Linked DNA regions of Caenorhabditis elegans. The protein of the gene in region 2 interacts with the protein of the main gene of each other region in a biochemical or structural test. Each region holds a gene or a part of one and is shown on either strand. Other genes may lie near its edges.

What was found.
Region 1: the proteins of flp-12 (region 2) and egl-6 interact in a test that uses a peptide from one of them, tested with the Caenorhabditis elegans proteins (one large-scale study listed by BioGRID).

Annotation. Positions count from the first base shown.
Region 1 is NC_003284.9:5,930,671-5,935,299, forward strand, and holds egl-6 (G-protein coupled receptors family 1 profile domain-containing protein), read left to right. Parts: upstream 1-1,915; 5' UTR 1,916-2,097; coding exon 2,098-2,276; intron 2,277-2,328; coding exon 2,329-2,442; intron 2,443-2,489; coding exon 2,490-2,566; intron 2,567-2,617; coding exon 2,618-2,784; intron 2,785-2,835; coding exon 2,836-3,171; intron 3,172-3,273; coding exon 3,274-3,496; intron 3,497-3,605; coding exon 3,606-3,697; 3' UTR 3,698-3,862; downstream 3,863-4,629.
Region 2 is NC_003284.9:4,590,766-4,594,386, forward strand, and holds flp-12 (FMRF-Like Peptide), read right to left. Parts: upstream 1,640-3,621; 5' UTR 1,563-1,639; coding exon 1,499-1,562; exon of another isoform or gene 915-1,498; coding exon 844-914; intron 787-843; coding exon 664-786; 3' UTR 516-663; downstream 1-515.

The DNA.
Region 1 (4,629 bases), 1.3 Mb from region 2:
TTGAAAATAGCATGAAAGAAAACATTAATTTAATTATTCAGTCAACCTTCCTTCATTTTGTAGGAGAATGACGGTGTACCGGATTCGAAAATTATTTATCTCAAGCTGCGTTCGTGTCTTTTTCAATTTTCTTTTTTTCTTTCTGCAACAATAAATTTGTCAGAATGTACTGCGAAAACCTTATATGACGGTAGACCGTGCCAGGGGAATATAAGTTCCCGAGACTAGACATTAATCATTTCTACGTACTGTTCTTGAATTTTGAACTCATTTAAGGTATGGAACTTTCTATACTCCAGAAATCTTTATATAATGCTCATGATTTAATAATTTATATAACGTCAAAAGGTTTTTCCTGATCTTTTTTCTGTTGCCTTCACCTCCGTTTCCTCACGTTTTCTTGTTCTTCTCCCTGCATAACTTTGAAAACAACACAGGTCTTTTGTTGCAGATGGAGAACATCATAGAACACAATGACAGCTTTTCAGCAATGAATGACACACTGATCTGTACATACTTCGAATGCTATATCCACATGTTTGCCATGGTGAGTTCAAAGCATTAAAATCTCGGGAGGTGGTTTTGATGACGCGTTGGAAATTTGGAAAAATTGCAAATTTGTGATAGAAGCCATAGGATCATTGTTTCAATTTTGATATTTGCCAAAGAACAGTTTAGGAAAAATTAATTGTTATCACTAATCGGAGAGCAAAATGTCTCAAGATATGAGATTAGATGTGTTGAAGCAACATTCTATTTTGAATATTCAAGAACATTGAACGTTTTTAAAGCACTTATAAACACTATTAATAGTAAAGTAACATCAGTGAAGAGGGGGGGGGGTTTGAATTTACAATCATGATAGTCTGACATGAACAAATATCATTGTGAAACACTCCAAACATTCTTAGATTTTTCAAAATATTCAGTAAAAGTTGTGGTGAATTACCAAGTTATCAAAAAGCATGGACGTTTTTTTTAAGCAACCTCAAAAGTTTGAACCCTTGAAATTTCAAATTGTATAATAGGACAAAAGTCACTGTCTAGACAAATTTACATCGAAAATATAATTTTCACTTGGTTTAAACACTTATGTGAAACTATCAAAGTTGGAGTATCATCAGTGGGAATATTATTTAATCACATTCATAATAGTCAAATATAATCGTGCAACACTTCAAAAATGCTCCGATTTTTCAAAAAATTTCAATCAAAGTTTTGGTAAATTGTCAAGTTTTCTAAAAGTTTGGACTGTTTGAGAAATTTCAAGCAACTCCGAATGTAAATTTTGGAAAATTTTGTCAAATTGGACTCGAAAAGTTTGCTATTATGATTTATTGTAGGGTACTCATGGGTTTTGTTACCCTCAAAATGTTTTAATTTTCTAAGTTACAATTAACCACAAAAACGTGAACTTTTTTGGAACGATTTGGAGAAACGAATGCTTTGTTCCGTACTTTTGTTTTTGTTTTTAATTTGAAAGGTGGAAAATTTAATTTTAGAAAATTAAAACATTTTGGGGGAACAAAACCTATCAGGACCTAATGTAGCGGCATATGAACAGTTTCAAACATTTTCCCCATTTTCGGAGTAGTGTCCCATTCCTCAAATGACCTAAATAATTCTGCAATTCTGCACGTGTACTTTGGGTGTTAGTTGCGTACGAGACTCTATTGGGAGCCGATCGTAAACCCGTTTTACGGCCTCACACTGCGAGTTAGTCTTTCAGAGACTCATCTATGTGTTTCTGACTGGGCACCAGTGAATCAGTATGGTGTCATTTGGGGGGACACGCGATGCACACAACTTGAAAAATAATTAGCTGATAGACAGGGGCACGCGCTACACAGTGGGCGGAACTTCCAACACTGATTTCACTAGATTTCCCCTTTCCCTCCCACTCCGTTTTGACTGGAACGAATATTTATTTTGTCGTCCAATTTTTCCTGCTATCTCGTTGTTAGAGATTGTCGCTGGGATAATCCGGTTGTGAATGGACGTTTGAAGCTTTTCCAGCATTTTGAACCGGAATCTTTTTTGCTTTCCCATATTTGCTTCCCTATTCGGGCTCGTTCCGAAACGTGAAAGAGTGAAAAAATGGGGAAATGGACGGAACTCGGATTGTCGGGTCGTGAAAATGCAACAAATGTCTCGTCGCGAGCCATAACTGACAAGTCCTTTTTGCAGTACTACGATGAAATTCATATTCCTCTTTCAATTTCTATCTGTATATTCGGAGCCGCTTCAAACGTCTTCAATATTATTGTGCTCACAAGGTAAGTTATATATTTCTTTATTTTTTACGGATGAATGTACCTGTTATTCCAGAAAACGGATGCGAACCCCAATAAACATCCTGCTCACAGGTCTCTCCATTGCACAATGGCTCCTAGCGACCAATTACTTCCTTTACTTATTGCTTGAGTATTATAGATATCAATGGTACGTCATGCATCAAATAAAAAAAACAATGTTCCAGTTTTTTGCAGTGTTCAATTATTATGGTCCGAAGCATTTACAAGATATAGATTCTTCAATGTCAACCTGAATACAGTATTTCATACAAGTAAGTATTTTTAGATTGGCAAGCATATTACTGTACTCAAATACTTTTCAGTTGCATTCACAACGACGATCGTTGTCGCAGTGTTTCGGTATTGTGCACTGAAGTTTCCAATTCAAGCGAATAGATTCATCTATAAATGCCAGCCAGCAATCGCAGCAAACGTTATCATTTGGATCATCATTCCTATCATCAGTCTTCCATTGTTTTTCATATCCGAGGTTTGTGTAGTTAATCTTCATATCTCGAATCTGATTTCATCTATGTTTCAGGTTAAAATTGTCGCTCGTGACCACGTTGCTTATGATTTGCAATGCGAAATGGAAGGTCCATTGTACGACCTCAGTTATCAAGAGAGTCCACTTCTCGTGTCCGCAGTTTTCTGGGCATTTGGTATTGTGTTCAAACTACTTCCGTCGTTAATTCTCTCAATACTACTCATTGCTCTTATAAGATCTTTGAAAAGCGTAGAACGAAGGCGTAAAAACTGGAAGCGTACACAAGGTGCCAACATTTGCACCAACTCCGAGAGAAAAGCAAAAAGAAAGTTGACGACCAGACCGCGCACAACACGAATGCTCGTCATCATTCTACTCCTATGTGTAATGGTTAGTCACTATTTAATGTCTGATCGTATGTGATTGCTGTATTGTTACGATTATTTATATTATTTTGTCTATGATTACCATGAAACGTATGTCTGATTCCAGGTAGAACTACCCATGGGTATTCTTAACTTGTGCGTGGCTATCTACGGTGAAGAGTTCGGAAATCGGTATTACGATCCAGTGGGAAATCTGATGGAAATGCTGACGCTGTTGTACAGCTCTGTTAGCTTCGTTCTCTATTGCACCATGTCCAATGAGTATCTCTCCACGTTCCGAGCACTATTCTTCCCATGGACCAGAAAGAATAGTTTAAGAGGAACTCGAAGTGAGTACTTTCAAACAAAATTGTAGGATGAATCATCTACTTGAGATAACTACATTTTACTCACAATTTTTTCTGACTAAAAAGTTCAATTCAAAATACAATTTTTCAGGAAGTTGGAATCATCGACATGACGACGAAACAAAGTCCCCACGAACTTTTCTGATAAATAGAACTGCGCCAAGCTCATATGTCGGGTCTTAATCTCCTTTGCGTAGTTATTCAATTCAACTATAATTCTTGATTTTTGTATTTATCCCGTTGTGAACTTCAATTCGTCTGAAAAATTTGAAAGTCACAAGTTTGAAAATGTGATTCTTGTTTATCTTGAAATCTTCCGAGAATGAATAAAACTTGTATTGTTTTACTAATATAGTGTGTTTTCTCTATTTGAACAGCTTTTAAAAGTTGGAAAACTGAAGTTTCAAAGTTAAAAATCAAAGTTATGAAAAAATAAGTGTTCAATGATTTTGTCTAATTGACTTTTTTTAAAGCAATTTTCTTTAGAATTTAAAAGTTTTCTAAAACCTTAAATATAATTTTTCAGCATACTTGTTAATTTTTTTAAATTCTAAATAGAAAAAATAGCATATTTATCTGCTACACTAACAAATTGAATCGCTTCTTAATCTATCAAAACAATAAAAATTGCAGTATTTTGAAGCGTTTGGTTTTTTTTTGTTGCAAAAAGTCTCAAGTGTTCATATCTTGACAGACAGTCTTAGCGGAATTTTTAAACGGAAAGAATAATATTTTCTGAACACCTTCAAAAGTATTCTCCTGTCAGTGAAGTTAATACGTAGACGTATAGCGATAAGAAGTTTTTGGGGTCACTTACGTAGACAATGAGTTACTACATCCCGGAATGCTTTTTTATGGGGTTATTCAAGTAGTGTCGAAAAATTAAAAAGGATAGAGAAATGACGTGACAACTGTATTAAAATTTTTCTCTGCTTCTAAACTTTCCGACACTACTTGAATAACCCAATTAATTGAAAAAATAATGGTAAATATTTTTCAGCCACTGAATTGATACGAGTTACAGTAACTCGTTATCCACATAACCAATGAAAAAAAGAATGTAATATGAACTTTTTCATACAATTCTTTGAGTTTAGCAAAAAGTGCACAGTAAA
Region 2 (3,621 bases):
AAGGTTGAAAATCTAATACAGTTGATTAAACTTTTGTACTGTATATAAAAATTCAGATTTCAAAACTTTGGCTAATTTTTAAGCCAACTATTTGAACTGTCTAATTGCGTAGTTAAGTAGCGATGTGTGAAGTTCTCGGTGAGCACGGTATGTTGTTGTTGTTGGTTTTTAGAAAGAAATTTCAAACTACTAAAATATTCTAAAAATTATATTATCATTTAATTTTTTTAAAATCTGGTTATCAAATCAAAACGCAATTTTCGGTTGTATTTTAACGAGTTTAACGAGTAAAACTACAATCTTAAGATTGTTCAAAAGAATGACAAATTTCCTAACAACTTAAGTTAGACAGGATTCTTCCAGCTTTTATAAATATCAGCCTAAATTTGGCTTTATAAACTCAAATTGTATTATTTCATATTTCCAAGTCAAAATTTAACAGGCTTTATAAATTTCCAATTTTCTTCCAATTTTTTAAAAGGAAAATTGCAATAAACACGGGATAAACAAGGAAAAACAATTCAAGTTTTATTTTCATCGGCTGCTATCACAATTCATTACGAAATTGACATAGAGAGTGAGAACATTTGAGAGATTCAGAGATTCAGAAGGTTAAATAGATCCTTTTCAAGGTTGGAAACAATGCTCGGCTCAAATGATGCTCTACTTTCGTCCAAATCGAATGAACTCGAACTTGTTGCGTCGTTTTTCGGCCATCTTGAGCTGCTGGTTGCCCTCCTGAAGTGCTTCCAACTCTGATAGAGCATTCAGCAGCTGAGCACTAATCTGAAAACAATTGAGAAATGATCGAGTTGCTCTCGGTGCGGTAAGCAGTAACAGTACCTTGTTTACGCTTTCGTGGCTCAGTTCCCCATCGTACATGGCTGCCGGGAGTACTTCAGGCGATCCTTTGACTAAAAACAATACATTAAAGATAATATCAATGTGTCTAGTCGGGTTTTCTTGCTGGGCCCCATAAGACGAGTTCCTAAAATGCAATGGGCCAAGAATATTTTCTTCCGTTTCTGTTTCTCGATTTGCTACTTGTTATTCAGAATCTCACTTTTATCTAGTTTTTTTTTTGCTTTATTTTCAGAAAGATTTTTGTCCAGAAGAGTCCCTAATTTCCAGCTAGGCCACACTGCGCTTTGTGTTATTTGCACAACAGGAAGAGGAATTTTTCTTGGTGTAATTATGCATGTTGGATGAGAAATAGTTGGGACTAATGGGATTAATGAGTCGGTGACTCGACGCTAGGACATTCCAATTTTTTGCGCCTAATTTTTGAGACATATTTTGGAAGTGAATTGCATTACTAGATTGTGTATTGAGGATTTATGTACATGTTTGGTTTTGACAGGATTCACCCACTCGGAGACTCCTTGTCAAATTGTAATTCTTAGCACGACGACACCAATTCGTTTTAACAATACATGGAGAGCTATGTCTAGTGTTACATTTTGAAAGCTATTTCTGAAACAAGGAACTAGTGGCTTACCTTTCTGTGTAGCACATGTTGCAATAAGGCAGAACAAAAGGGCGATGATGACTTGAACATTCATGTTTACTGAAAGTTCAGCTTGTGTGGCGCAAATATTATGCCGATCTGAATCTGGCGAGCTTATGTGCCGACCAAGTGGGCGTGGCCTAATGATGGTCCTCCCCTTTTGGGAGGAGAAATTATGGTGGATGAAGTTGAGCTCTCAATGTCACCAAGACAGCAAAAAAATAGAAGGAGTGGAAAAGAAAAAATGAAATCATGTGTCTTTTCGGGAGAAGATTGATGGTAGACAATAGTTGGAAAATTGGGCAATCCGTCCTCTCACCACACAACTCGTCATCGCTTTCCGCCGGCAGTGCTTCTTCTCCTCCATACTGATTGTGAAGGATAGAGGAATCCCGGATGAAGGCGGCGAAAAAGTGATGCTGGTGTGACACGCACAAAAGGCGCAAATTGGAAGGCAAAAGGCGCGACCGTGGGGGTCCAGAAATATTGTGCACAATATAACAATGCAAGACACTTTTGAGATTCCGTACAAAACATTATTGAAAGAATGTCTAAATTGGAGTGCAATCTCCGGAAGCATGACAAATTTACAGAGTCGAAACGGAACTATTTTGAGAAGCCTATCCCTCTCTATATAGTGCAACCACCAATTGCATCTATTCACAGATTTTGAAATCGCTGTTGCTGTTTTATACAAGAAAACAGCAAAGTACACAAGAAAACCTACCCATAAATGTGTAAAATACTATTTCGATGACTTGTCAAATTAATTTGAAACAAAATTCTTATTCTATGTACACTCTTCCAAAATTAACTTATGTCCAGGACGCCCACTGTGTGTATTTCTTTGAATTCATAAGTCATAGAGATGAAGTACTCCCCAAAGCATCTTGATTAAAAACAAGATCGTTTCAATGGCACAATAAGAATCAAAGTTTAACTACTGGTTTTTGAAACTTTAAAGCCATCCAGAATTATCTCAGGCTTCTATTTTGATCTCTGCAATAATTATGTTTTCCAATTCCAGGAAGGCAATTCTAGAAGTATACCAAAATTTTTGAGTTTCAGTATTTTTCAATTTGAAACCAAATAGTAATATTATCAACAAACATACTAATATTATCAACTCCAAACTAGGTGTCATGTAACTCGATTATCTCATTATTTTTCTCCAAAATATTTTCATATGCTGATTCATCAAACATCATCACGTAAATAAAACACACATTTGCAACCATTTAGCATTAACCGTAATCCCCCTATCGTATATAAGGCTTAAAAGGGCCGCCAGGCTGGAAGACTGCATGATCAAAAGATTTTCTAAGGAGCCATCTGAAGATACCACCGGACTTTTGAGCAAGATATGCAAGCGTGGCGTTGTGAATTTTTAGCTTCAAAATATTAGAGCTGGTCTCACGGTGAGCATTAAAAGATTTTCCAAATAATACTGGTAACAGTTTCAAAAAGAATATATGCTCCTATTGTAAATTTACTTCAACTCGAAATTACTTTTTTTGTTCATAATCAATTTTAATGTCTTCACATTAATAAACGTCTGGCTTTTTACCAGTTTGAACACTTTTGAATTTATCAGATTTGGAAAAGCTTTAAAGTTCGAAAAAACTGCTCCAAAACTTTTCCTCGTTCAGGAAACTCGTATAAGTTTCCGTTCTGTTTTAAGACAAGTTCAAAACCAATGAACTTTTTTCAGAAGGGCTTGAAGAAAAAAGGAAGAGGAAGTGGAACCATTTACTCAAGTTTCAGTATGTGGATTGGTCAAATATCAAATGTTGGCTCAAGTGGGGTGACTTAAGTGTTTATTGGAACGATTTTATCAGTCGTACATTCCATTACACTGAAATCAATAGTATAAAATGGAAAAGTGAGCATTTGGGTGAATATTGTCTACAATCAAAAAAATTATACAGTGAAACAATCCCCTTCCAGAAAAAAACCAAAAATATTCCTTGTTTCTCTTCCCAGCTAGTTCAGAGCAATCATCGTAATGAAGTGAATTTGATTCTAATCTTCAAAAATTTTAGCACTCTGAAATGAGTAATCCGGTTTAATTGGCCTGATCCACACTCTCGGCATTGATAATTCCGACATTTAAT